Nothobranchius furzeri: one gene and its partners. The protein of the gene in region 6 interacts with the protein of the main gene of each other region in a pairwise test. Links are inferred from orthologs where the notes say so. Each region holds a gene or a part of one and is shown on either strand. Other genes may lie near its edges. The genes, in order: c8h19orf25, txlna, neuronal migration protein doublecortin, protein FAM110A, rbm41, rint1 and lmo2.

What was found.
Region 1: the proteins of rint1 (region 6) and c8h19orf25 interact in binary tests that used the Homo sapiens proteins (3 or more experiments, as listed by UniProt). The link is inferred for Nothobranchius furzeri from reciprocal best matches to the Homo sapiens genes RINT1 and C19orf25.
Region 2: the proteins of rint1 (region 6) and txlna interact in binary tests that used the Homo sapiens proteins (3 or more experiments, as listed by UniProt). The two-hybrid records come from large-scale screens. The link is inferred for Nothobranchius furzeri from reciprocal best matches to the Homo sapiens genes RINT1 and TXLNA.
Region 3: the proteins of rint1 (region 6) and neuronal migration protein doublecortin interact in binary tests that used the Homo sapiens proteins (3 or more experiments, as listed by UniProt). The two-hybrid records come from large-scale screens. The link is inferred for Nothobranchius furzeri from reciprocal best matches to the Homo sapiens genes RINT1 and DCX.
Region 4: the proteins of rint1 (region 6) and protein FAM110A interact in binary tests that used the Homo sapiens proteins (3 or more experiments, as listed by UniProt). The two-hybrid records come from large-scale screens. The link is inferred for Nothobranchius furzeri from reciprocal best matches to the Homo sapiens genes RINT1 and FAM110A.
Region 5: the proteins of rint1 (region 6) and rbm41 interact in binary tests that used the Homo sapiens proteins (3 or more experiments, as listed by UniProt). The two-hybrid records come from large-scale screens. The link is inferred for Nothobranchius furzeri from reciprocal best matches to the Homo sapiens genes RINT1 and RBM41.
Region 7: the proteins of rint1 (region 6) and lmo2 interact in binary tests that used the Homo sapiens proteins (3 or more experiments, as listed by UniProt). The two-hybrid records come from large-scale screens. The link is inferred for Nothobranchius furzeri from reciprocal best matches to the Homo sapiens genes RINT1 and LMO2.

What each region holds. Positions count from the first base shown.
Region 1 is NC_091748.1:78,709,091-78,712,368, reverse strand, and holds c8h19orf25 (UPF0449 protein C19orf25 homolog), read right to left. Parts: upstream 2,072-3,278; 5' UTR 1,884-2,071; intron 1,499-1,883; 5' UTR 1,481-1,498; coding exon 1,339-1,480; intron 1,063-1,338; coding exon 881-1,062; 3' UTR 501-880; downstream 1-500. Other genes in the region: interferon-induced protein with tetratricopeptide repeats 1, read right to left, coding at 3,196-3,278.
Region 2 is NC_091751.1:3,230,716-3,234,950, reverse strand, and holds the start of txlna (alpha-taxilin), read right to left. Parts: upstream 2,801-4,235; 5' UTR 2,788-2,800; coding exon 2,688-2,787; intron 2,288-2,687; coding exon 2,108-2,287; intron 1-2,107. UniProt on the Homo sapiens protein: May be involved in intracellular vesicle traffic and potentially in calcium-dependent exocytosis in neuroendocrine cells.
Region 3 is NC_091750.1:46,841,016-46,845,285, forward strand, and holds the start of neuronal migration protein doublecortin, read right to left. Parts: upstream 2,801-4,270; 5' UTR 2,659-2,800; intron 999-2,658; exon of another isoform or gene 897-998; intron 1-896. UniProt on the Homo sapiens protein: Microtubule-associated protein required for initial steps of neuronal dispersion and cortex lamination during cerebral cortex development. May act by competing with the putative neuronal protein kinase DCLK1 in binding to a target protein.
Region 4 is NC_091755.1:41,859,566-41,863,631, forward strand, and holds protein FAM110A, read right to left. Parts: upstream 2,801-4,066; 5' UTR 2,665-2,800; intron 1,936-2,664; 5' UTR 1,827-1,935; coding exon 558-1,826; 3' UTR 355-557; downstream 1-354.
Region 5 is NC_091750.1:69,603,267-69,606,605, reverse strand, and holds the end of rbm41 (RNA-binding protein 41), read left to right. Parts: intron 1-58; coding exon 59-504; intron 505-577; coding exon 578-725; intron 726-924; coding exon 925-1,115; 3' UTR 1,116-2,839; downstream 2,840-3,339. UniProt on the Homo sapiens protein: May bind RNA.
Region 6 is NC_091741.1:64,260,970-64,263,812, forward strand, and holds the end of rint1 (RAD50-interacting protein 1), read right to left. Parts: intron 1,998-2,843; coding exon 1,879-1,997; intron 836-1,878; coding exon 622-835; 3' UTR 501-621; downstream 1-500. UniProt on the Homo sapiens protein: Involved in regulation of membrane traffic between the Golgi and the endoplasmic reticulum (ER); the function is proposed to depend on its association in the NRZ complex which is believed to play a role in SNARE assembly at the ER.
Region 7 is NC_091744.1:61,983,211-61,987,234, reverse strand, and holds the start of lmo2 (rhombotin-2), read right to left. Parts: upstream 2,801-4,024; 5' UTR 2,655-2,800; coding exon 2,614-2,654; intron 1-2,613. UniProt on the Homo sapiens protein: Acts with TAL1/SCL to regulate red blood cell development. Also acts with LDB1 to maintain erythroid precursors in an immature state.

The DNA of each region.
Region 1 (3,278 bases), on a different chromosome or scaffold from region 6:
AGGAGCCCAGCTGAGCTGAATCCTCCTGATGACCCACACCCGGGGTAAAAGGCTGCAGGGTTCTGCTGTCCTCCAGGCCTCGTTTTGGTTTCAACACCTTCGTTTTGATGAGTTTTAACTTTAATAGTTTTAACTCTGAGTGATCCAAATGAATCTTTGTTTGATGTTGACTCTGTTTTAAGGTTAACATCGTAGTTTGCCGACTTTGGGATTTTAAAACACTCGGGTGTTTTCTTAGTGCGTCGATTTTTAATATCAACGTGTGTTTTTTAAAACACCTTCTGTTTGGGTAACCCGGTGTTTTAATGTTGGTAAGTGGTCCTTTAAATGTTAACCTTTTAGTCTTGATTTTGTTTGTTTGGGCATTATTTTAAAAATGCTTTCCATCTGTTTGCTCTTGTTTTTACAACCTTTTATAACAATCAAATCATTTTAAAAATATTTCATGTATTTAGAAAACTTTAAATATTTCTGTGTACGGAGAAGAAACGACAAAAATAAAATGCTTACGATCATTTTAATATTTACTTTTCCCCGGTCAGCTTTGCTTTTCCAGATGAACTTACTTTTATTACAAACATTAAAGTTGTGCATTTGTTCATTTCTGTCCGTTTCTCCTGATTTACTCTCCTTTCTTCTCAGATTTACTTTTCATGTGACTCATCGTTGCGTTTCCTTCACTGTGAGCCAAACGGCTGTTATCCTTTCAAAAGAAGACTTTCTGCAGCTTTTACTGCGAGGCAGATACGAGGTCGGCAGAGCCCGGCCCATTTGAGAGTTCAAAACTCATCCAGCACTGTGGCGCCACTGCTGTCTGGCTCAAAGGCACTTGGACCAGTCAGAGTTCAGAGAAAGTGTCCCAAGCAGAAATGGTGTAGAGTCAGAGAAGTTGACCTTTGATCTCTTCCACTTTTCTGTCCAGCTGCTCTCCCACAGCCAGTAGCTCTTCCCACTGCCGCTGGAGCTGGCCTTGAGCCTCCCGCAGCCGCTCATTCAGCTCCAGGTACCGGCGACACTGCAGGAACCGGTGCTCCACCTCACTGTCTGCAAGGAGGGACCATTCTGCAGAGAGCAGATGAGACCAAAGCTCAACAACCAGAATCCAGAATGATGGAGCAAGGCCATGAAACACAAGCATCCCTGATTTTATAAAGAATATCATTCTTGGCCATCTTAAAAACTGTTTTGCTCGTTTTTCTTAAACATGATGTAACCAAGATGCTGAACATCAAAACAGAAATGGGCTTTTATTGTGAAGTGTTAAACAGAACAAGACAAGTTTTGATTTAAACTAAGAAGATAACCGTGTTTGTTATAAGGTCATCTATGTGGACTCGCCTTTCCCAGTTTTCTCCAGGACGTTGAAGACCGGATCATCAGGAGCAGCCTTGCTGATGTCCTCCAGGATCTGGTCCACATTAGGAAGTTCTGGGCGGCTGAGCAGAACCACACGTTTCTTATTCTTAGAGCCAATGTTCATCTTAGACGACAAATCCACCTAAAACACAGTTCACGCTGATGATTGAGGAAAAGGTCACGTGTCTTACATTTAAATACACGAAATACGATTTTTTTTATTTTACCAATTCGGCATAAACAAAAACCATCAACACCCAAATTTAACTGTTAGCGGTGATACACCAGAATTAGCTTAAAATGCAACAATATTCGTAGGAAAATAACGGATTTATTAGTCTAGCGGGAACATTTCAAGCCGAACATTTCAGAACAACCCAACAATTGTTATGAGGTAAAAATGACGTTAGTGACGGAAGTAACATTAGCTGGCAGCCGATTTTTGTTTAATTTAGACGTTTTTTGTATGAAACTCGGGCTGCTGCTCGCGCAGCTCGCGCGGCGCGGAAGCGTTCTCTAAAGTTTACCAGAGTTGATTCTTCACGGAGGAAACCTTCTGATGTGTCTGCTCTCAGCCCGTCGGCAACGACTTAAACCGGACTGCTCATGGGAAACAAACGTTTCTGTAGTTTATGAACGACGAGCAGCCAAAACGACCCGGACGTTCTTTTAACATCCAAACCGGAAGTTCATTAACAGCCTACGTCAAAACGTCACAAGCCACGTCGGCAGAGCGTGTTTTTATGTTTTTGTACCGTGATTTGTTTTATATTAAAAAAAATAAAGTAATAAAAAAGTCATGTGATTTTGCTACATGTAGTACTTGTATATTATGTAATACACGTTAATGTTTATTTGTTCAGAGACTGTATTGTTAAAGGTGTTGAACACCGAAAAACATGTTTTAATTATTATTTCTGATAATCAGGCACTCTGAGTGTTTCATGCAGGCTGAACATGAAAATAGTCTCCTACATCTATCTCCTTTATTAGCTTCTGATAGAAAACTGACGGGGAATCTCTAGGAAAGCCTGGCAGATCTACGTGACACTGTCACTAACATTCATGGGCTCACCCATCTTGGCTAACGACGGGGAAGGCTGCTGTTGGTTTAGAGTCCAGGAAACAGCAGAGAACGTCTCAGCTAGTAGAAGCTGCCCCCGCGACCCAACTCCGGATAAGCGGATGAAAATGGACAGATGGATTTTACATGATTTCTGGTGATAAATTAGTTTAAAAACTATGCCGAGAGGAACCAGCTGAGGTGGCTCAGGCACAAAAAATGTGAGGAGCCGTTTGGGAACCGAAAGAGTCGATTAATTTTAGTTTCGTTTAGCCGTAAAAATTGGTTCAAACAACGTTGGAACCGGTTCATTTCATTGTGTTTATTTCTTAATTCTGATTTTTGCTAATAATTTATTGGGCGTTGTACCGGTCTGTCGTCAGGACAGCACACTGTAGACCAGAGCAATCGATCACAAAGTTCATGATCAGTCAGAAGAAAGTAAAAACCAGAATAAAAAAGACCGGGGGGGGGGGGGGGGGGGGGGGGGCAAAAGGTTAAAATCAGTTAATTGAGATTTTTTAAATCTCTAAATGTTGAGTGGATTCTTTCTCATTTTACTCCAGTAACTGACAGAAGCAACATTTCAAATATTTTATTTTTAATCAGAATATTTTACTTTTGTGAACTAAATAAATAAATAAATGAGTTCCAATAAGTAGCAGAAAAAATTAAAATGTATTAAAGATAATTTTATTAACACAAAACCTTAATTTAGACTTTATTCGTCTGTTTCCTTCGTGTTTATCATCCCGGTAAACACGCATGAATCCGGGTCAGTCTGTCAGATCCAGCAGGAACTCGTGGACCTCTCTGCTCGTGGGCGGCAGGTTCTCTTCTCTGATCTTCTCCAGCCTTC
Region 2 (4,235 bases), on a different chromosome or scaffold from region 6:
CAGAGTCTGCACACATTCAGGTACTCAATGACATCCTGATTCTGACTGACTCTGGCTCCCATGTGCGGTTACTCTTACTCGACCTGACCGCAGCATCCTACTTCACAGACTCCAATTTTGGGTGGGTGTGACCGGTACTGCCCTGGAATGGTTTAAGTCGTACCTTAATGGTCGGTGTTTTAGTGTTCATGTTAGAGACTGCTCTTCTCCCAATGTCCCACTTCCATGGGGAGTACCACAGGGCTCCATCCTGGGTCCTCTCCTCTTTTCAATTTACATACTAGCACTTGGTAAGATTTTAGCAAGTCTCGTCGGGGTTAACTACCACTTTTATGCAGATGATTGCCAGATCTACCTTCAAATCAACCAACAGCACTCATTTTCTATAATGTCAGAATGCCTCTCCCAGGTCAGATCCTGGCTTTCTCAAAACTGCCTACGGTTAAATGACAGCAAATCAGATGCCATACTTTTTAGCCCCACTAACATGAATGGTGCTTTAGATGTCTCAACTCTCCCACTCAATCTCAAATCAGGTGCCACTAGCCTAGGTGTGACACTGGACTCTGACCTTTCAATGTCTTCACAAGTCAACGCTACTGTCAAGTCCTGCTTTTTCCAACTCCGCCGCATCACTCGTCTTAAGTCAATCCTCAAACGCCCGCATCTTGAGTCAGTCATTCATGCTTTCATTACTTCACGTCTGGATTACGCAAATTCTGTCCTGATTGGGATTAATGCTTCAGCCTTAAGCAAACTGCAGAAGGTTCAAAATGCCGCGGCCAGATTTTTAACCAACACCGACAGACGCATGCACATCACACCCATCCTCGCAGATTTACACTGGCTCCCAGTCTAATTTAGGATTAACTTCAAGGTCCTGTTATATGTTTACAAGGCTTTGTACTGCCCATCCCCATCCTATCTGATGGACCTGCTGACCCCATATGTTCCCACCCGTGCCCTTCGGTCAGCAGATCATCTGCTGCTTGTTGTTCCGAAGGTTTGGTACAAATCACGGGGGGAGCGTGCCTTCTCTTATTCAGCCCAAAACTCTGGAACTCCCTGCCCCTCCGTGTGCGTCTGGCTCCCTCTGTTAGCAGTTTCAAGTCGGCCCTGAAAACGCACTTCTTTAGCATTGCCTTGCCTCCGTGACACTTTTCATGACAATCTAGCACCGGATTTGAGTTTTTAATTCCATTTTTATGATTTAGTTGCTCACTTTTGGCACCTCGCACCATCTGGTATTTTATTTCGGTTTATTTGGGACATTTCAAATGTTTTTATTATTCGTCGCATTATTTTATTTTTATAGTGCTGTTAACTGTTCTATTTTATGGTTTTTAGTAGGAATTTTTATCTCCGACTATTTATGCTTTGTTCTTATGTTTTTTGCCTGTTCTTATTGTGGTTCTTGGTCAAGCATTTGGCTTTTTTTATGTACAGCACTTTGGTTAGCTGCCATGCTATTTTGAAATGGTGCTTTATAAATAAATAAATATGGTATGGTATGGTATGTGTCCCACACAGTCACGCGGAAAACTGTTGGGATTCATTTGTTTATGATGTGCCTTCTAAAAGGAATCGCACTTGAGGCATTAAAACAATTATCACAATATCATCAAGGACGTGATGGCCTACTTTTATTTAAATGTTGAAGTAAGTTTGTTCTTGACACAACGTTACAGTAATGAGAAAATACCCCAAAACTAATTTATTATGGATCTCTTAACCTTAAAAACTCTTGTTTATTAAACTGTGTGATTGTGTTTAATGACATCAGTGCATAAAATAACTTGTCGGCAGCATCAGGACATATAACAATAAAAATGACATAATCTAGATATGTATGGATTGAGTACACGTGAAGAATGAAGACCATTTTATTGTACAAGTAAAGCTTTGATTGCATCAATAAAAGTTTGACTTCTAGTATGTTAATCTTGAAACCAGATGACATCAGGTATTACTGACAAGATTCTCCACTTCAGTCTGATGACAACCAAACCATTAATTAGGTTTGTGCTGTTTCATCTAATTTGTTCTAAAACTGAGAATTCACACAGTGTGACGGACGAGTAAGAAAGTCAAACCAAAGGCAGTTCACCTCCGCTTTCCCCCTGCTGTTCCTGTGGTGGAGGGCCAGCCTGTGGCTCCATCTCTCTGGGGCTGCTGCCTTCAGCAGGTGCAGGTGGAAGTGGAGCGTCCGTGTCTCCAGCTGCAGGTGGAGGAGCCTCGCTGCCCGGGCTGGTAGACTCTTCCGTGTCTTGATTTTTCATGTTTAGCTCTTTGAATAAAAGACGAAACTAACGCTGAGTCTAAATAAGGCTTTGACAATAAAATACACCAACTGTTCAGACGATAAAGTTCTTTAAAATCACGCATAAAATCGAAAATATTAGCACGTTTCTGGATACATAGACATGGCGTTTATGTACAAAACGGAAAACAAATGTGTACTTTCACTTCGGACCATTTTCAGTTTCCATTAGCTTCCAGATTACATTAGCTGGCACAGGCTAGCCCTCGTTAGCAGTTACGCACGCAGCTAAAATTGTCTTGAACTACTTTCACCCAACCGGTGTTACTTTGTACCATAAAAGAAAAAACAGAAAACTACTAAAGCTATGGCGACGCGAAACGTTACCTCATTCCCCTGACTCTACGGTTAACACAGACTTGTTTACCTGAAGACTCCAGGAGGAAACGGCTAATTTTTCTGAGCTGCAGGTTTCTTGAACAGCGTGTAGCTGACTGGCTTAGAAAAAAAAAACAACTTCCGGTCATAACTTTGATTCTTCTTCTTTGACTTTTCAATGGTGGTTTCAAATGGTGATATGGTGCATTACCGCCACCAACTTCTTTCTGCTATGTAAAAAAAAATACTAGCAAGAAAGTGATAAAACTGGTAAAAACCAATTAAACATTTATTGTCATTGCAGAACAGCTGTCTTGTAAATTAGTAAGACTATGGTTTACATGTGGCCTATGCTAATATAAAATTTAAGGTTTAATAATAGTAAACAGCAAGTTCACCTACTAACAAAAATGCATTTTATTTAGAAAAAATTACAGCAAGTGTTTGTACTAACTACTGAAATTTTATAAATGTAGTTCCCTCTTCCTCCCTGGGCTGCCACCTTACCGTGGTGGAGGGGTTTGAGTGTCCCAATGATCCTAGGAGCTAAATGAGGCTTTATGCCTCTGGTAGGGTTACCCATGGCAAACAGGTCCTAGGTGAGGGATCGGACAAAGAGCAGCCCAAAGACCTCTTATGATGAATAAAATAAATGGAAACCGTGTTCCCTCGCCCGGACGTGGGTCACTGGGGCCCCCCTCTGGAGCCAAGCCTAGAGGTGGGCCACGTAGGCGAGCGCCTGCTGGCCGGGTTTTCACCCATGGAGCCCGGCCGGGCACAGCCCGATGAGGAAACGTGGGTTCCCCTTCCCATGGGCTCACCACTCGTGGGAGGGGCCAAAGGGGTCAGGTGCAGTGTGTGACGGGTGGCAGACGAGGGCTGGGACCTTGGCGGTCTGATCCCCGGCTACAGAAGCTGGCTCTTGGCACAAGGAATGTCACCTCTGGTGGGGAAGGAGCCTGAGTTGGTGTGTGAGGTTGAGAGATTCCGACTAGCTATAGTCTGACTCACCTCAACGTATGGCTCTGGCTCTGGAACCAGTTTCCTTGAGAGGGGCTGGGCACTCTACCACTCTGGAGTTGCTCCCACTGAGAGGCGCCGAGCAGGGGTGGGCATACTAGTTGCCCCCATCTTGGTGCCTGTACGTTGGGGTTTACCCCGGTGACTGAGAGGGTAGCCTCCCTCCGCCTACGTGTGGGGGGACGGGTTCTGACTGTGGTCTGTGCTTATGCACCAAACTACAGTTTAGACTACCCACCCTTTTTGGAGACCTTGGAGGGGGTGCTGGAGAGTGCTCCTTCCGGTGACTCCCTCGTTCTGCTGGGGGACTTTAACGCTCATGTGGGCAACGACAGTGAGACCTGGAGAGGTGTGGTTGGGAGGAACAGCCCCCCTGATCTGAATTCGAGTGGTGTTTTGTTATTAGACTTCTGTGGATTGTCCATAATGAACACCATGTTCAGACATAAAGGTGTCCATATGTGCTCTTGGCACAGGATACCTTAGGCCGCAGCTCGATGATCGACTTTGTTGTTGTTTCATCTGACTCGGGTGAAGAGAGGGGCCGAGCTGTCTACTGACCACTACCTGGTGGTGA
Region 3 (4,270 bases), on a different chromosome or scaffold from region 6:
CTGAAAAAATGAGAAAAAGGCAAAGATCTTCAAACCAAATCTCAATGAACACGAGACTAGAGGCCTTTTGTGGTGGATACATCCAAATAAATGATCACATTAAACGTGTGTACGTAGCGAGCAGCCCGCAATTCCACCTACAAGCATCTGTTAACAGCTGTCTCACCAGATGCAACAAAGAAAACCAGCTAAATGAAAAACGACCTTCCTAGAAAGGACTTGGAAAAACTGAAAGGAATAAATCTTGAATGAGAACTCAAACTTTAAAAGGTAAACTAGATTAAGTTGACCCTTAAGTCAACACCTTATTTATGTGAATGGGTTGGGGGTTTTGCCTCGTTTCACTTGGATAAACTCTTCACAAATCAGAAAAATAACGCATTAGCTAATTTATGTAAAACAAATTCTACATTTTATCCTGATTCATGACAGCTTCGTCAGAGGCAGATCTTTTAAGGTAGCGCGACTCGGGTTGCGAAAGACCACGGTCACCAATTCTAGAATAGTGTGTACTGAAACTCTAATTTCCCTCTGGGATTAATTAAGTATCTTTGAATTGAATTGAATTTTGCAGATGAATCAGAGTTTAAATATTTAGTGCTTTTTTTCTGAGAGGCTATTTTAAAAGCAATTTTCCTAAAATCAAATCAAATAATTTTTTTAAAACAACAACTTTAACTTCTAAAGACTTTTCTGAAACACCTGTGAGTTTTTTTAACAAGTTTTAATGAGGTTTGCTCAACAGCTGATATCTGATAGAACTGAGCATTTTACATTTAGAGCTTCTCCTCTGATCATTTCCATAAGCGACAGAAAGAAGCGTGTGCCGATTTAAATCAGAGACGGTTTATCGGTCCTAAAAACAAATGATGCGCCTGTTGGGTCTCTTAACCTACCTGCAGACGAGGACGATTGGTGCACCTTTTTTCCTCAGATAAAACCTCTGACGACCGCAGCCTGGTAACAAACACTGCTATGCAGATTTGATGGTGAGCACAGGTGCACAACCGTCAAATACCACACCCACATTAAAGAGGAACTCAGCTGTGCACAGATTAAAGCTCTGTTCCACTGATGCCATCACTTAACTCATCAAAACACCTCCACAATGAAATCATCCCGCAGGTCTCCTCTGGTCGTTGGGCCAACACAACTGGTTTCTGCTGAAGTCTATTCAGATGTTTGCCTTTCAGTAACTTAATTAGTTTTGATGATGTTGGGAGTGGATTTGCATCGAGAAGGTTCTAGTTTTAGAAGACTGCATTTAAAAACAATTTTAAAATTAATCAGAAAGAATATTTCACACACATGTTTTAATCAAATTACATATTCAGATTTTTCGGCCTGTTTATTTTAGGATTTAAGTTGATGGACGCAACCTGAGGGCCACAGCCTGCCCGTTCAGAGGTTTCTCTGATCACACACACCCGATCTGAATCGATGCCCAACAGGCTAGCTTGAGAACTTGATGAAGAGGCAGGTGTGTTGGAGCAGGAACACGTGTGCTAACGCATGCAGGATAGCTTCCTTTATGGATCAAGAGAGACATTTCTTCTTAAATATTCAAACAGAAACATTTAAGTGATCAACCTAAAGTTTAATATTTACTTTTATTTTCTAATGCTGCTTTGCACCACTGACATGGATCCTTTAACTCCTCATAGAAAAAGTCTTTAAACAAGTAAAAGACTGATGTTTATAACCCACCTCATTAAAACGCACCAGACAACCTATAAGCAGACAGCTTTCTCTAGAGGACAGTGCTGACAGACAGGGGGATACACGTGGTCACCACCCACCCATGTGGAGGACGCTCCACTCATGCTACCCTCATGGCTGAGCTGCTGACTGGTTTTTTTTTATGATCCCAGAACACTGACAGGGGTGGGACTTTTGTGATGCTCCTCAGCTGACAAAGGCCAGGTTTCAGGCCCATCTGCTGCACTAATAGCCATGGCTAACCGTGACCCTTCCCCAGTGGAGCATCAACTAGGACAGTCCATTGTCTCCAACAGGGAGCCTGGTTTCACGGTGACATCACTGCTACTGCAGCAGCAGCCGGCTCAGACTCCAGCTCAGGTTCATCAAGTGCATCCTCACACCAGCACATCTCAGCCTCTCTCATCATGATAAGGTTTTCAAAAATGCACAGAGGGTTTCTTATTGGTTCCGATTGGGTCAGTTCCTCAGACAAAATTCACAGAGTGCCACCAAACGAATCTCAGACTGGCCATTAGGCAGCATTGCAGTAACTCTGCGTGGTGTCATTGATATTTTTGGCTGGTTCTGTGTTCCTGGCTGAGCCTCCCACACAACACTTCAGTCGGCGCGCGCGCGCACACACACACTCTTCTGACAAACCAGCACGTTCTGCCTCGTGCATCTGCATGCTTTAGCTGAATAAATATAGTTTACCACACTGAAAATAAAAGTTTCTCTGATTTATGATGATAGGAGCGACCACATGGCAGAAAGCTTCCATTTGACTTCTCAGAATAAAAAAAAGGAGGGACTGGGTGTGCGCACACCTCCAGCCCAACTAAAGTCACCTCATGCAGACCTAATTAACCATAAGTACCAACTCCCTGGTCCACATACTATCACTTAAACTCGGTTCTAACAGTAGACAGGAGCTCAAACAGGCAGAAGCGGACTCACCTGCGTCGCAGCTCCCGGAGTGAAGGGAGTGTGTGTGATTGTGTGCGTGTGTGTGTGTGTGTGCGGGGAGGGGAGTGTAAGTGTGTGTGATTCGATGCTGCTGGATAGCTGCACGCCGTCTCTCCTCTCTCTGCCTTTGTCTGCTTCAGTCTGAGAGCCGAGCATGTGCCTGGCTTCCTGCAGGAGCCACTGGGTCCTAAAGAGCGCTGGACCCGCCCACCAAGGGGAGAAAGGTGCAAGTCCACGTGGGGTGGAGCTGACAGGTGTCAGTGGCAGTGGCGTGTCCAGATCTTTTAAAATGGGGTGGCCCAGGTCAGGCACAACTTTGTGCATGGGTGGCACCATTGGTTATGCTTTTTTGTTTCACCCCCAAACCTTTAGTGGAAATTGAAAAGCCTATTTAAAGGTAAATTAGTGTGGTAGCACCTGGGGTGGCCAATCAGATTCCAAGGGTGGCATGTGCTACCTCTGGCCACTCCCTGGCCACGCCCCTGGTCAGTGGAAGGACAGGCCTGGAGGAGGCTGAAACTTCCTCCACCTGAAAGGGACTCTGCACACGGGTGGCGACAAACGACCGCGATCAGCGAAATTTGTCGCTGTCGCTTTTATTACCTGACACACGGGAGGTGACCCGCGGCAGCGGCCAGTGGCACAGCCGTCTACGCGTTCTGTTCCATGGCGAAATCGAAACGTCCATTGTTTTGTTTGGCTGTGTCAGGTTGGAGGGAATTAAGGTTATTTAAGCGGTTCAGAGTTAAAAAGGCAGTAGATATGATGTTTCACAAGGTGCTGCTAGAGTTATGTGAAATCTTACTTCTGATTTTACTATGTAAAACATAATAATAATCAACTTCTCCTTCATGTTCGCTCGGAGATGTACGGAGCATCCTGTCCGTTCATTGGTCAGTGAATGAAACCTTCGTTGATTGGTCCTCGTCCGAGCGACAGCGACGAAAAGTTGGAAATATTTCAACTTTCTGGGATGGTAAAAGCTAAATGGCCTGTATTTCATATAGCGCCTTCTAGAGTCCTGGAACCCCTCAAGGCGCTTTACAACACAATCAGTCATTCACCCATTCACACACACATTCACACACGGATCCACTTCCTTGCTCGTGTCGCTGGGTCGCCTGTGCACGACACATGCAGGAGCGCAAAATTTCACACGCACGGTTTTCGCGTTTCGCTTAGTAGGAGGGAGACCCGCGATTATCGCTTTGTCGCACATGTCTCATTGAAAATGAATGGAGAGGCGATGTCGCCTCCTGTGTGCAGAGCCCCAAAGGCATTATAGACAACTGAAGTCTCTTTTTTGTGTAAAACTAATAAATAAATCAAATCATACCTATTTCAGAGATACATCCCTGAATGGCACCAGTTTAGAGAAATAGCTTTTACATCCTCCAGGACCACCGCAGATGTAGTCAGGTAGGAGCTGAAGTCAAAAAGACCCACAGCACCCTCTAGTGACCAGTTCCAGTGCAAGTTTTAAGTCCCTCCGTGTGAACAATGGGATGTTTTTCCTTTTTAAAACTGAAAATAAATTTCCAATGTCTTTAGAAGTATTTAGTGATTAAAGCCTTTAAAAACACAGTGGTTAAGAACAAGGGTG
Region 4 (4,066 bases), on a different chromosome or scaffold from region 6:
TCAAGAGACGCCTAAAACTCGAAGTTCCCGTTCGTGTGGGTCTCAGGCAGTGGCGTGTCCAGATCTTTTAAAATGGGGTGGCCCAGGTGAGGCACAACTTTGTGCATGGGTGGCACCAATGGTTATGCTTTTTTTTGTTTTACCCCCAAGCCTTTTGTGGACAATGAAAAGCCTTTTTGAAGGTAAATTAGTGTGGTGGCACCTGGGGTGGCCAATTAGATTCCAAGGGTGGCATGTGCTACCCCAGGCCACCCCCTGGACACGCCCCTGGTCTCAGGTGTCCTAAAACACACCTGCTGATGCTGAGTGCGTTGTTTTATGTTTGAGGTGATGACTGAGGACCAAACAAAGAGCTTGAGTGAATTCTTTAATGTAATTTTTATCAACAGGACGATCCGCGCACGCTGAAACATGGTGGGCGGAAATCATCACCACAGCCAACGGTGATGACTCTTCACATTCAGCCTTTCACCGGTTTACTCAACAACCTGGGCAGCCACTTTTACTCTGAAAGAGGAAACGAGTTTCCCTTTCATAATAAAACTCAGACGGTCCATCTATAAATTAGTGTTCTTGGTTGTGTCGTCCTTGGCTTGCCCTAGCCCATAGAGCCACTTGATCACTCTGGCGTTCCTCTCAATCACAGAAATCCCATAGGGAACGCGGTCTGCAGCTTTCCCGGCATCTTCCTCCTCCTCCTCTTCCTCTTTGACCCCTCTGTTCGAGCCTCCACACTCCGATCCCGGAGCGCTGACGCTGTGAAAGCGAGCGAGGGACACGATGTCGGAGCTGGAAGCAGCCAGCTCACGCAGGTCCGACGGGTCCAGACCGCACAGGTTGAAGAAGCGCTCCAGCTCCGTCCCGGCCCGGGAGTACCGGTCACTCATGTCGGACTTGGACCGAGTCAATGACGGACGCTTTCTGGAGCTGGAGGATGACAAACGGGTGATGGCTGGAGAGGGGGGAGGAAGTGGGAAATCGGGGAGGGTGGGGGGCAGTGGTGCAGGAGCGTCAGCGGGAGGTGGGTTAGAGTGGTCGGGTTTTACTGGAGCAACAAGTGGTTTCAAGGGAGAAGAACCCGGAGCAGCTTTTGGCTGGGAGACGCGCTGGTGCGACGACGCTGAGCGCAGCAGTACGTGGGAAATCAGAGGTCTGGGTTGGAGGGGCTGCCGTATGAACTGGGGGGGTCTGGAGGCCGTCCTCACAGGGCCAAACTGAGGCATGACGTCCACTCTGCGTACGGTTCCTGCAGCCGGAGCCCCAGGAGAACCTGGACTCTCTGTCCCGGCAGCTGCAGGTACCTTTTGTCTGACTTTAGCTGGACTGGAGCAGTCGGGACGCAGAAGGGGACGTGGAGGGGGGCGTGGCTTGTCCGTCATCGGCTGAGCTTTGAACAGGGAACCGTGTGCAGTCACAGCACCACCAGGAGCCTTACAGTCCTCTGACTGGGACGCTGAGTTAGGCGTTGGCCCAACTGGGAGATCACTGATGAGGTGACTAAGGTGCTCCAGGTCAAGCTGGACGCCCTCTGGTTTCGTACCAGTCTGGAGGTTGGGCTTTCTGGTGGGGCGCAGGGGTGTGTTGGGGTTCAGCAGAGGCCTTTTCACCTCAGGAGGCCCGACTGGCTGCGTTCTGGAAAGAGCCACCTGACTCTTGACGTATTTGGCCTTGTCGGCCTCCAGTCTTTCTACGGCACTCTGCTTTGGTGCTCCTGCTGCGATTCTCCTGCAGAAATCTGGTCCCTTGGGTCGTAGACGCGGAGGGGAAACCCCGACGGCAGCCCTCACTGGCTGCCGTGGAGGCTGCTGCATCGTCTCCACAGGCATGGTGTCAGCTCCAGTTGTCCTTCAGCTACCTTAGATTATAAAACCTGGATTTAATCTCGGTCGTCATCCTCATGCCATCTCAGCAGCTCAGCCTGGACATCTGGGCTCCCTGTGGACAACAAACATCAGTCAGGGGAGCAGAAAGGACTGCTCACGGCACAAAAGACCCGAAACCCCAACGCCCACTTATTTACTCTCCCAGCCAATGGCTTCCCACGTACTCCCCCAGACTTCCAAGTCCATTGGCTGGCGGCGCAAGTCGGATTAGAACAATTCCTCAGTCATCCATCTTTTGGCACACAATGAGACTGACACTTGGTCTGCAGCTAGGAGGGACCGTGAGGAGGGTGATGGGGTGAATCAGAGGACCAGCTGTCAGACACACACACACACACACACACACACACACACACACACACACACACACGCCTCATTTGGGATCCATGAAAACAAAAACAAACTGGAGAGGCTGAAACTTCCGGGAGGCCTCCCGAGCCGTCTGCCAGGAAAATTCTGCACATAGCTCCCATTCCTGTCTGAGCCGGGCCCGGGCTCCTGCGGACCGAGCCGTGGGACGTCACCTCACCTGCCTTCAGGTCTGCAGGCCTCCAGAACAAAAGCAACAACCAGTGTGTTCCTGGGAGGGTTGGAGGCAGGGGGGAACCTCAGGAGGCGGCCCTGACCACCAGGAGCGGGCTCCTGGAGTTTCTGACTAACACGGAAACGCTGACAGGTAAACAACAGGTAGCTAACTCAAGGCGCGTGCGGAACCTTCTAAATAACCGTTTAAACTTATCTCCTGCTCCTACTTCTACTCTTCGCCCTACCGGGCTCTCACCTGAGTGGTTGGAGGAGCTCCTGAGGAGTTTGTGAGGACAAAAGCGAGACTGTCTGAAACCTCTAAACAGCTCAAGCCGAGAAGACAAACCTGTCTGACAACTCGCGTGCTGCTCGAAGCTCCGCCCCTTTGGATGATTGGACCAATCAGGTTCCTTCAAGGAAGCAAGCCGAAGCTCTCTGGCCACGTGACGCTCTCTTTGTTTTTGCCCTATCAGCAAGCTGAATGATTGGGATCCTTCCCAAAGGTCACGCTTCCGGTCTCGTTCTGTAATCTGATTACTAATGCGTATTTCTTTTCTTTGACCCTTTTTTGTCTTGTCTCAGGAAGCCCGAATAGACAACATTCAGTCTCGTTTCTGAAGAGGGTGAGACACACCAGTCCAAACGAATTAGGGTCAAAGGTCAGGTGTTCTCCTTCAGGGTGAATGTTAGTTTTACCTCAGACGGAACAGAACAGGGCTGCCAACTTTTGAACATTTCAAACAGTGAGACGGGGTCATGGGGTTGGGAGCGGACAAGTCGCTGGCCATTTGGGGGGGGGGGGGGGTATTATTTCTACTCTGTATGGAAGAGGATTAGAGCCACTGACAAGAAAGAAAAAAGAAAAGAAAGAGAATTCTTACATTTTTCTCAGATTCTGACTTTTAATCTCAGAATTCTGACAGGGAATTCAGGGAAAAAAGTCCAAATTCTCTTTCTTTTCTTTTCAGTGGCCCTAATCCTCCATACCTCTGACTTTAGAGGGAACTGACCTTTGTTTAATACAAATTTTCTTTTCGTGAGGACAATTCAACATCCAACTCTCCTGAACTTCTTCATATTATCTATCATCTATCCATCCATCTATCTATCCATCCATCTATCTATCTATCTATCATCTATCCATCCATCTATCCATCCATCCATCCATCCATCCATCTATCTATCTATCTATCTATCATCTATCTATCTGTCTATCCATCCATCTATCTATCTATCTATCTGTCTATCCATCCATCTATCTATCTATCTATCATCTATCCATCCATCTATCTATCTATCTATATCTGCAGTAGAGTTACAGCTACATGTCACAAATGGAACTTTTAATTATAATTAATGTAAATGTTTTAATTGTAATTCCGGGGGGGGGGGGGGGGGGGGATATCATGTCATTCATAATATTACCAGTTATTATTTCCTTCCAAGAAAAAACATCTATCATGTTAAGCTAACTTCATGTTGTATTTGCATCCACTAAACAGGATTATGTTCATGTGTTCATCAGCGTGAAATTATTGAAGTTATCAAAGCAAACATGGCTGGTATCAGTTTTACTGTAATCTGCGTCTATAAGTGTGTGTGCTGCTGTAATGAGTGGATGTCCCCGCTGTGGGACTAATAAAATTCACTCTATTCTA
Region 5 (3,339 bases), on a different chromosome or scaffold from region 6:
TAGTGTCAGCTGATAGATTGTTGGTAGGAGGTGGAGAAATATGAAAGAAAAGTTTTAGTTTCTGTTCCAGATGAAGACGATGTAGATGGACAGCAGGAGGCGTCCTCCTCTGACCCCATGGGTCCTCTCTACAGAGACATCCTCACCTGTCAGAAACAAACAGGACCAACATGCAGCTCTGAAACCGTCCAATCACAAAGCTCCCAGAACTCCAGCAGTCTACAACCTACAGAGTCTTCTCACCATCAGTCGGATCTGCAGCGAGACGCCTCAGAGCAGCAGGACGAGAACAAGTTACAGCCGCAGCGACTAGTACCGATAAATCTAAACCAGCCAATCGGGCGCCTGTGTGGAGCGGCAGGGGCAAGGTCAGGAGCACAGCTCGCCATCAGCGGGGAGATCGAAATGATTCCAGAGGAAGAAATCCTGAACAGCCGCGCACCCGAGGAGGAGATCCTGAGCATCCCGAGGTTCAGGAACTACCGTCCAGGAAAACCTTCCAAGGTTCCAGCAGTTTGTTACCTAACCTGTGTGTTTCAGCTGTATGAACCTAAACCTGATCCACCTCCTCTCACAGGTTCTGTGTGTGAAGAACTTGAGCCGGCAGGCGTCCGTAGCCCAGCTGGTGGCGCTGTTCTCCAGATTTGAGCGGAAGAGCGAGGCTCCGGTGCTTTACCGGCTGCTGACAGGAAGGATGAAGGGTCAGGCTTTCATCACGCTGCCAGGTGAGGACGTGGTTCTCAAAGGTAAAACGTAACGACCACAGAAACGGATCTAAATGAAGTTCTTTTAAACGTAAAAATTCAAGTTTTTAATCCACGTGACTTAAAACTTGAGAACTAAAACATTTAAACGAGGAAACAAGTGATCCTGTTTACTTTGATAATTAAATGAATGTAACCTCGGCGGTTTCTTTTTCGACAGACGCAGAAACGGCCCAGAATGCATTACAGTTGGTCCATGGATACCGGTTGCTAGGGAAGCCTTTGGTGGTTGAGTTTGGACATGAACGTCAGGAAGTGGAAAAACAAGGAGAAGGAAGCGTGGAAAGAGACGGTGCTGATGCTGTGCTGAAGTCTGGCCAGCAGATGTCACTCTTAATCGGGTTCAAATGATTCACATCACTGAAGTATCCATCCATCCATCATCTAAACCCGCTTATCCACACAGGGTCGCGGGCGGGGGGGGGCTGACACCCATCTCCAGCAGTCTCCGGTCAAACAGGGTACACCCTGGACAGATGCCAGCCCATGGCAGAGACACACAAACAAGCACACACACACACACTCACACATCAACCTGACAGTCACGTGGGTCAATTCAGTAGAGTGTGAGAATGGAAGTAGTTGAGAAATAACCAGAATCTGAAGGGACAGCGAACACGAGGACACCTGGGAGGAGGGAGAAAACGTGGACAAGTGCATTGGAGCGGTGTGGAACGTTGCAAGGAAGCACAGGAGCGGGGAGCAGGCTTTAGCGAGTTAGAAGTGCCAGTCCACACTCCTGATCAGTAGGTGGCGGCAACGCGCCTCAACGTTGCTTCATAGCCGCCATAACGCCACAAAGAAGAAGGAAATGTGGAAGGGACTGTGGAGGCGGGGACACAGGACATGACACCTGCATCCTGCTGTTTCGCCTGCACACACCTGAGCGTCAAAGAAGCGTTCACGGTAAAGTGGAGTGTTGTGCGAGTGTCTCGCCTCTATGCTGCTGTTGTTGTTTATATCAGCAGCTGTAGGGGGAGTCGAACTCGCAGCCAAAGCTTTGGACTGGGCTGTTACTGCTGCTGCCCACGTCTACACCCAGAATGAACTCAGACATGGCTGCTTTGGTTGTGCTAACTGATAGACGTCATCCTGCAGCTGAAGTCCACACGGGTGCGTTTGTGGTTTACAAAAAAATAAAACTAGATGTCATAATCTGGTGAAACGAAGCAAACTAATAAGGAGGATTTTGTTGTTAATACATTTGCCGTCAAATGTTTCGAGCTTTTATACCTTGTTTATTTTGCACTAATGTCCATTCGTTTGAATTTCTCTAAAAGTTCTCTTGTTCGCTCTTCCTTCTTCCATCTCAGGAACGTTGCTAAGCTGAGTCCCATTCTGTCCCACTCTGAACTTGAGACAGTTCTCCACACCCTCATCTCCTCACGCTTAGACTACTGTAACTCTCTTTTCACGTGTCTGAGCAGAACCTCCCTGAACCGTCTACAGGTGGTTCAGAACGCCTGTGCTCGGCTTCTGACCAAGTCCTCCAAACACACCCACATCACCCCGCTTCTCCTCCAGCTTCACTGGCTGCCAGTCAACTTCAGGGTTCATTTCAGGATCCTGTGTAAATACAGTTGAAGCAACTTTTTTGTTCAAATATTCACCACAAGATGGCACTGTGATTTTGTTAATGCCCTAGAAAGTTTATTTAAAGTATTATTTTTCATGTTTTCAATACATTTCGTAGCATTTACAGGTGCACAGAGTTAATAATTTTTTGTATTTGAGTAATTTTGAATTTGTTTATTTTGATAAGGTGTGTTTAAGAGTGCTGTGACGTCACTTCCTGTCTCATAGCTTCTGAGATTTTATTGATGCGCACGGACAATTTGTGCCATTTAAGAACATTTGAGAAGAAGTTAAGTTAAATGTTTTCAAGTCTACCGTTTTGTCTACTAGCAGGCCAAAGTGGTTTGTTTATTCTTTATTTAAAAACTGTATGTTAGCAAACTTAAGGCAAATAACTTGTTAATTTGTACATGATTTATGCTTTTTCATCAGTTATACAGTGTTCATGTGGTGTAAAGATAAAGAAGATGCAAGACCGCATTAAACATCAGTAAAAGGAACGCTCGTGTCTCTCGTGTATGTAAACAAGCCGGCACATCCTGGTTCTGAACTATAGGGCCTTACATGGACAAGCACCATTTTACATTGTTGATCATCTCAGTCCCTACACCCCCAGCAGGTCCCTGAGGTCCAATGATCAAAGCCTACTGGTTGTGCAGCACCAGGCTAAAGCTTGGTTTATGCTTGACGCATTCACTTTCTGCTTGGTGATGCGGCTCGTGGATGGAACGCGCTTCACAACTTGCAGCGTTTATGGTTCATGCGGCTTGTCTCTGCAGTGAGCCAATATTCTCCCAAACTGTAGGGGGCAGCATGGAGCTCTACAGCATGCTTCCAACACTACACCATAGTAGAAGTAGAAATGACTGTTGTTTACAACATGGCATTCCAGCATTTTAAACAGCGTCCTCGTCTTTTCCGACAGTGCGAGCTATTTCTCCTCAAGAATTATTAACAACATGTTGATCACGGTGATCTCTGAGAGCTGAATCGTACACAC
Region 6 (2,843 bases):
TCCAAATTTAACCAGTCAGAAAAAAAATATTTTTTGCACTTGAAAAATTATTGGGAGTAAACACTTTGACTATATTGACAAAATATTTATTTCAATAATTTAATTTCCTAATTATTTCCCAATTTATTCAAACTTTTAATGATTCAGTGACAGTCTTTTATGAAACTCCAAAAAACAATGTTGACACAGCTTAGCTCATGCATTACTGGAATATGAGTTAATGTTGCACATGGACAAACAATTCAAAATCAGAAAATGTGCATATTTAGTTTATTATGATTGCTCAGTCCCTTTCTGTGTAAGAAAACTGGGACAGTTTTAATTGTAGTTTTTTTGAATTTTCAGTAAAAATGAAAAAATTATCTGTGTTGCTGCTTCTACGCTAGGTTGTGTCTGTCAGCATTAGTGAACACAGGACTATCTCCACTCTAACATTTGTTATGATGAATTATTTCTACATGTGCATCATCTGATGAAAACAGAATCATCTAACAGACAGCTTAGAGTAATAGGATTTTATTCATGTTCTGACTGTAAAACCATCAGCTACACGAGGAACATGTCAGGACACATGAAGACAGTCACACACCACTAAAATGTAATGCTGCTACAGAGCAGTTATTAGATTTCTGGTAGAGAGGCTCTGAGGTTGAGGAGAATAAGCACGTCACATGGTGACAAACAGTAAACTCCCAACTCATTCAGGGTGGACTCTGGTGGAGAATCCTTAGGACCTTCCCAGTCTTTGTTATCCTGGTCTGACTGTTTCAGGACGGACTTCAATAGAACTGCAGAACCCACGCTTAGACACAAGATGATGCAAGCCTCCTTCACACTGCAGACACACAGAGCAGAGGTACAAATCAGAAATAAAGGTCACCTTTTGATTACATCCTTCATGATAGCAAGGGTGACGTTTTTAAAATGATACTACATGTTATAGAGGATGATGCTGAAGGAGGTTGTGGTGGACCATCAGGTGGACACCGTTTCTACCTTTTGGTGAAACCTTTGTTAGATTTTCTGAAATGGGTCAAGTAAGAAGTTCATTCACTTTATTCACCACCGATACAAGAAAATGATTCTTTAAAATTAGGGCTGCACGATATTAGAAAAGCCTGCGATATGCGATAATATTGATTAATATTGCGATGACGATATTATTAGTGATAAATAAAAACTTAATTCAGGAACAAAAATAATAAAAAACAAAGAAATAAAAAAAAGGATTAAATAAATCATAAAAATAAGAAAAGCAAAAGATGTGAGGAAATGGAAAAAGAAAATGAACAAGAAAAGGTAATCAGTGGATCCCGGAAAAAGCAGAATCAGCAGAAAGACCAGAACAAAGCTAACTCAGGTGTTTGCTAACCATCAAAATTAAGTGTCGGGGCGGGCATCTAACCTATGAGAACCCACCTAATTGGCCAAATGGGTAAAGAGCTCATTTTGATTTGTTAAAAAAACATCATGCTTACGTCTGATTGACAGAATGCATTATGTGTAGCAAACATTTGAGCTGACCATTCATTGCGATATGCATATTGTACATGCTGATATCGTGATAACGATATATTTGTGATATATCGTGCAACCCTATTTAAAATGGAACTGTTCAGTGTTTTTCCATCCGTAAAACGTACAGAGAGCTGTTTGGCCTTAAGGATTAACGTCTCCTGTTCCAGCGTGTGAAACTGGATGAGTCAGACCATGTTTAGGTTTTGTCACAGACAAATGGGCTTCAGCCCGGACCTCCACTAGCTTCAGTCTGAATGTCTCCAGGCTACAGCTTGGACCCGATTCAGAGACATTACAGGTGTTTCTGCAAAAGGCCACCTGAACAGGTTTTACATCATCAACCTGCTGTTGAACACTTACTGTTTAAAGAAGTTCTCTGGTCTTCTGCAGTGGTGACCAAACAGAGGAAACAAGTTTCTGCTCATGTCAAACTGAAGCTGAGCTGCTCCACCGTCACTGAAGTGGTTCGACAAGATCACCTGACAGAAACACAAATATACGACAGGTCAGATGTTTGGAAGCAAATCCTTCAACAGAAGATGCCGAGGAGCTACAATGATGGTGTTGGATGGTGTTTGTTTGGGAAGTTGGAACGTCCGTTCTGAACCTACCCCTTTTTTCAGAAACCTGGGTCAACCCCCAGAAAGCCTCTCATGTAGGATGATCAGTCTAAAGACACTCTAGTGCTAGAACCGCAGTTGGTGCTTGATCCAGTTCTACAAAAACTGGGTCTCCACAACCAGAGCGCCAACTCAGAGGCCCGGCATCAGATCACACAAAACACGTCTCAGTAAAAGTTTGATCCTCCCTTCGTTCTTTTGGTCTCATGATTACAGGTGAGGGTTTGAATGTCCACAGGTCAGTTAATGAAGAGCTTCGCCTTTTCACTCAGGTTTTTCTTTACCCCGACAAATCAGAGAAGACAAAGCCGCCGTCATCCATGACCCTCATACGACACGCTGGGATGCCTGAACTCTTCTCTATAAGGTGGACTTATTGTTATCCCAGAGGAAGCGCTTCGCCCTTTTTGGGTGGAGAACCACCCCCGTGCATGCAGAAGTAGATCATCTGAAAAGATGATGACACAGATGAGACCATGAGGTTTCCAGCCAAAACCAACCCCTCCCAGACATCCAGCTCATCCACCCACACATCTAGTCTCTCAGCTAGCTGAGTGCTAATCTGGACTTCATTCTGTTGAAGATGACCCAGTAACCTCTTTTAACGGCCTTCCTTGGACACCAGAGGGGAATTCAAAGCACAGGAATAATTATCTGATCTAAGCTGATCAAAATTTGCTGCTTCTGGATCAAATGAGACTCTCA
Region 7 (4,024 bases), on a different chromosome or scaffold from region 6:
ATACACAGTTGAGGACACGTTGTTTAAGTACCTGATATGAAGCGGTCGCTGCATAAGCGAAAACCTTTACTCTCGGGATCCCACAGCTTCATTTTATCCCGGTCACTAACGTGTTTTATTACAATGATCCAACGTTTGCGGCGCTCCGGAACTTGGGGAATCCTGTAGATGACTCATTCCTTATGTCGTCCGCGTCTGTTCTGCATCCTGGGGCACAACAGGAATCTACCATATTTCCCGTTTGATTGAATTTTCTGACAATAACAAATAGTCCAGCTGCCGGCTTCTGCATGCCAATATGGCGCCGTTTCGATTTGAACTGTTGCATGCCGGGAGATGTGACGTCAACTCCCGGAGCTCTATGGGACTGTGAAAAGCTGTAATTTGACATAACTTGGGCTGTCTCACACTACCCAACAGGGCACTCCTCCTCCCCCTCACTGCTCTGCCACACATTTCTGTCTGTGCACCCCCCACTCCCACGCTCAAATAAACTGCAGCACACTTTCCAGTCTGCAGTGTTTGCTTGGAACCCCATGACAATCTTGCAGCACCACTGGTCCTGAGTTAGTAAAGGATGTAAGATATGACTCATACACACCTATCAGGAATATTGTTTAGGAATTTTCTTTAAAAAAATGAAAAATAATATGTTGCTACTACTAAAAATGTGAAAAGGATTCTTGAAACACTTGATCGGATCAAACAACGAAGATGTTTTTCCAGAACTTTTGAAACATTTATTTTAAAATATGCAAGTAATATTTAATATTTCTTTTCTATCTTTTAACAGTTGATCTTCAGCCGGAAAAAGGTAAATGCCTTCTCCAGGTCAGGGACAAGGTCCTGCTTAAAGTGGAGGAGTTTACATGTCTCAGGGTCTTGTTCATGAGTGAGGGAAAGATGGAGGACAAGATCAATAGGTGGACTGGTGCTGCGTCTGCTGTGACGTGGGCGTTGTACTGGTCTGTTGTGGTGAAGAGAGAGCTGAGCCGGAAGCTGAGCGTCTCAATTTACCGGTCAATCTATGTTCCAACCCTCACCTATGGTCACTAGCTCTGGGTATGAGATTGTGAATACATGCAGCCGAATTTAGTTTTCTCTGCAGGGTGTCTTTAGAGATGGGGTGAGCAGCTCGGTCATCCAGGAGGGGCTTGGAGTAGATCCGCTGCTTCTCTACATCAAGAGGATCCAGTTGATGTGGCTCAGGCATCTAGTTAGGATGCCTCCTGGACACCTCCCTGGTGAGGCTTTCTGGGTAAATCCAACTACAAGACAGGAAGACCCAAGACACGCTGGAGGGACTATGTTTCTCGTCTGGCCAGGAAACACCTTGGGCTTCCTCATGAAGAGCTGGCCCAAATGGCAGGAGAAAGGGAAGTCTGGGACTTTCTAGTTGGGCTGCTACCCCCCATGACCTGACCCAAGATAAGCAGACAAAAATGAATGGATTTTTGATCTTGGCTTATTGTAGAAAAGCCCTCAAAGTCTTGCATTTTGGGAAAACATTCCCTTTGTTACGCTTATTTTGTAGTTGGCCGGAAGTCTGCTCCAGAAGTCCAGCTAGAGATAGAGATAAAATGGCTTTAGGTTCATATCTCTCGAGGTTTACGTAGCTCTAGTTTGTGTCCCGGGTTCCTCTCTGCGATATGTTGCTGCCTGGGGGATAGCACCGGGACATGGTCGAGTGTGTGCGTGGATGAACAGTAAGTGCAATGTTGGACTGATTATGGCTATCGAGTTAATTATTATGCATTTCCTGTCCCTGTGAAAACGCTGTTGATATACCTTCCCTCGGGACCGATCGGCGCTGGTCTGCTGGTGTCGTACGAGGAGGCATGAATGTGCTTTGTATGAGTATACGGGAATGTAGAGAAGTACAGCGGTGTTGTTACAGTGCGGGAATGGGAGTTGGTTCAGAGTATCTGAGCTAAGCTAACCCGCCACCGGAAGTACCCAGTCGGGAAAATAAAAGCACTCTTTTGTTTACAGACCGGAAGTTGACCGACGACGTCAAGGTTAACTTGACAAACCTTAATATAGTGGCTTTATGTGAGCAGATGATGATGATTTAGTGACCTCTGACTGTTTAGTATGGTTATTAACTGATGATGTGGTGGCGGAAGGTTAATATTCTGATGTGTGTTAATTGTTTAATAAGGTTAAGTTATACATACGTCATATTTGTCATTCTGCAGGAAAACCACACCCATGAGCTATCATGTCTATCAACTGCTATCCTGATTTACTTGTCCTAACCTATGGGCTATAATAAAGAAGCCAGGCGCACAACTACAATTATGACTCATCTTCTTTATATTCTGAGGGGCTTTAAGTAATGCTCTGGCCAGCATTCCCAGTGTAAAGCGAGTTTCAACCTTGGTCCAACGCCTTTACAGTGTGCCTTAATACACTTATGTTACAACTCCTGTTCCCATTATGGCTGCAACATCTGACTCTAAACATGTAGTTTAGTTTAGTTTTACCTTACATCCGTTTCTTTAATTTTTCCTTAAATTTTCTTTATGAATATTATAAGCAGAAACATCTGATCTCATCGTCTTGCACGTGGGATAGTTTTCTGATAGAATGTGTTTATTTTAGTTGACTTACTCGTTTGCTTCCAGTGTTTTCCTCTCTATGGTAGAAGTCATTCTCGAGCCTGATCTGGATACTGGAAGGCGCGCTGCACCTGCACCCCTGGTAAAAACCACTTTCAGATCGCTGGAAATAAAAAGCGAACTCAAGAAGCAGCTCCCTTGTTTCCAACAGATGCAGAACAAGAACAGCTCCCTCTCTAATCAGCTAGACGCCGATGGAGGAGGACGCTGTCATCATTTCCTGAGGCAGCAACACTTCCATGCCTTGCAGGTCCCACAGCGACTAGAAGAACCGCGCCAGTGCGGTTCGATAAGGAGGGTTCTGCGGGGAGGAAGTAGTGCGTGTCCGAGTGGCCAGCAGCTGCAGCAGCAGCGCGTTTAAATACATTGGGGCCCTTCGGGCTTTGCTTTCGCTTCTCTCTTCCTGTTTCAGCGCTTCACAATGAGGGGAAACGGGTCTTAAAGCGACAGCAGAGCTGCTGGTCTGTGAGTCGTGCAGAGGGTCGTGATGGTCGTGACTGACTAATGAGTCCATCTGCTGCAGGAGCTGAGCTGATAAAAACACCTGCTGGTAGTTTTATCTGCCCATCATGTCTTCCTTTGCTTTGTCTGTAATTAATGCAAGTAAAACATCTAAACTGTTCATGTCAAAGGCAAATAAAAATATATTCTTATGTTTTGTTCTAGAATATGTGGCCTGCTGTTTTGCAAATAAATGAATAAAGAAAATTTAGAATCATCTCAAATTGAGCTTGTGCTGCATTTTTGTGCCACATTCCTCAACATTAAACAGATGTGCTGAATTTCTGCTTTAAATAAGGAAATGTAATGTTCAAATTTAAATAATGTGCACACCTCGTACATTTACGCAGACGCTGTGAAGAGGAACATTACCCTTCAAAGATAATGTGTGAAATTTAAAGTTCTGATTTTTACATTTTTCTCTTCAGAAATTTGCCAGCAAAGCTTAACGAGTCTAGAATGACTATAGAACGTTCTAGAATGAAAAATATGATTTATTAAAAAAATATATATACTAATCTTTTACCCCTATAATAAAATGTATTTCTTGTCGTTTTTGGCACACTTTCCTTTTCAAACCAAAGCGCCAGTGGACATGTCTTATCTAGTGCCAGAGCTGCAGGGTAAAAGAGGGAGGGACACACACATCAGTTGGACTGTGAGGACAGATAAAGCGCTTTAGTTCCAGCAGTCAGAAACAGTGCATGAAGATCAGAAGCAAACTGTACACTGTAATAAATTGTAGGACAGAATAACTTAAAAACGAAAGTTCAACAGCTGCCTTAAAAACTTGAGTCATGTCAACTTAAATGAAAACTTTCAACTCTATATGTCAAGTTTTACAAATATCATAAATAATAACTTTGTTTGAATATTATATTATGAGTCGAAACAACAAATCT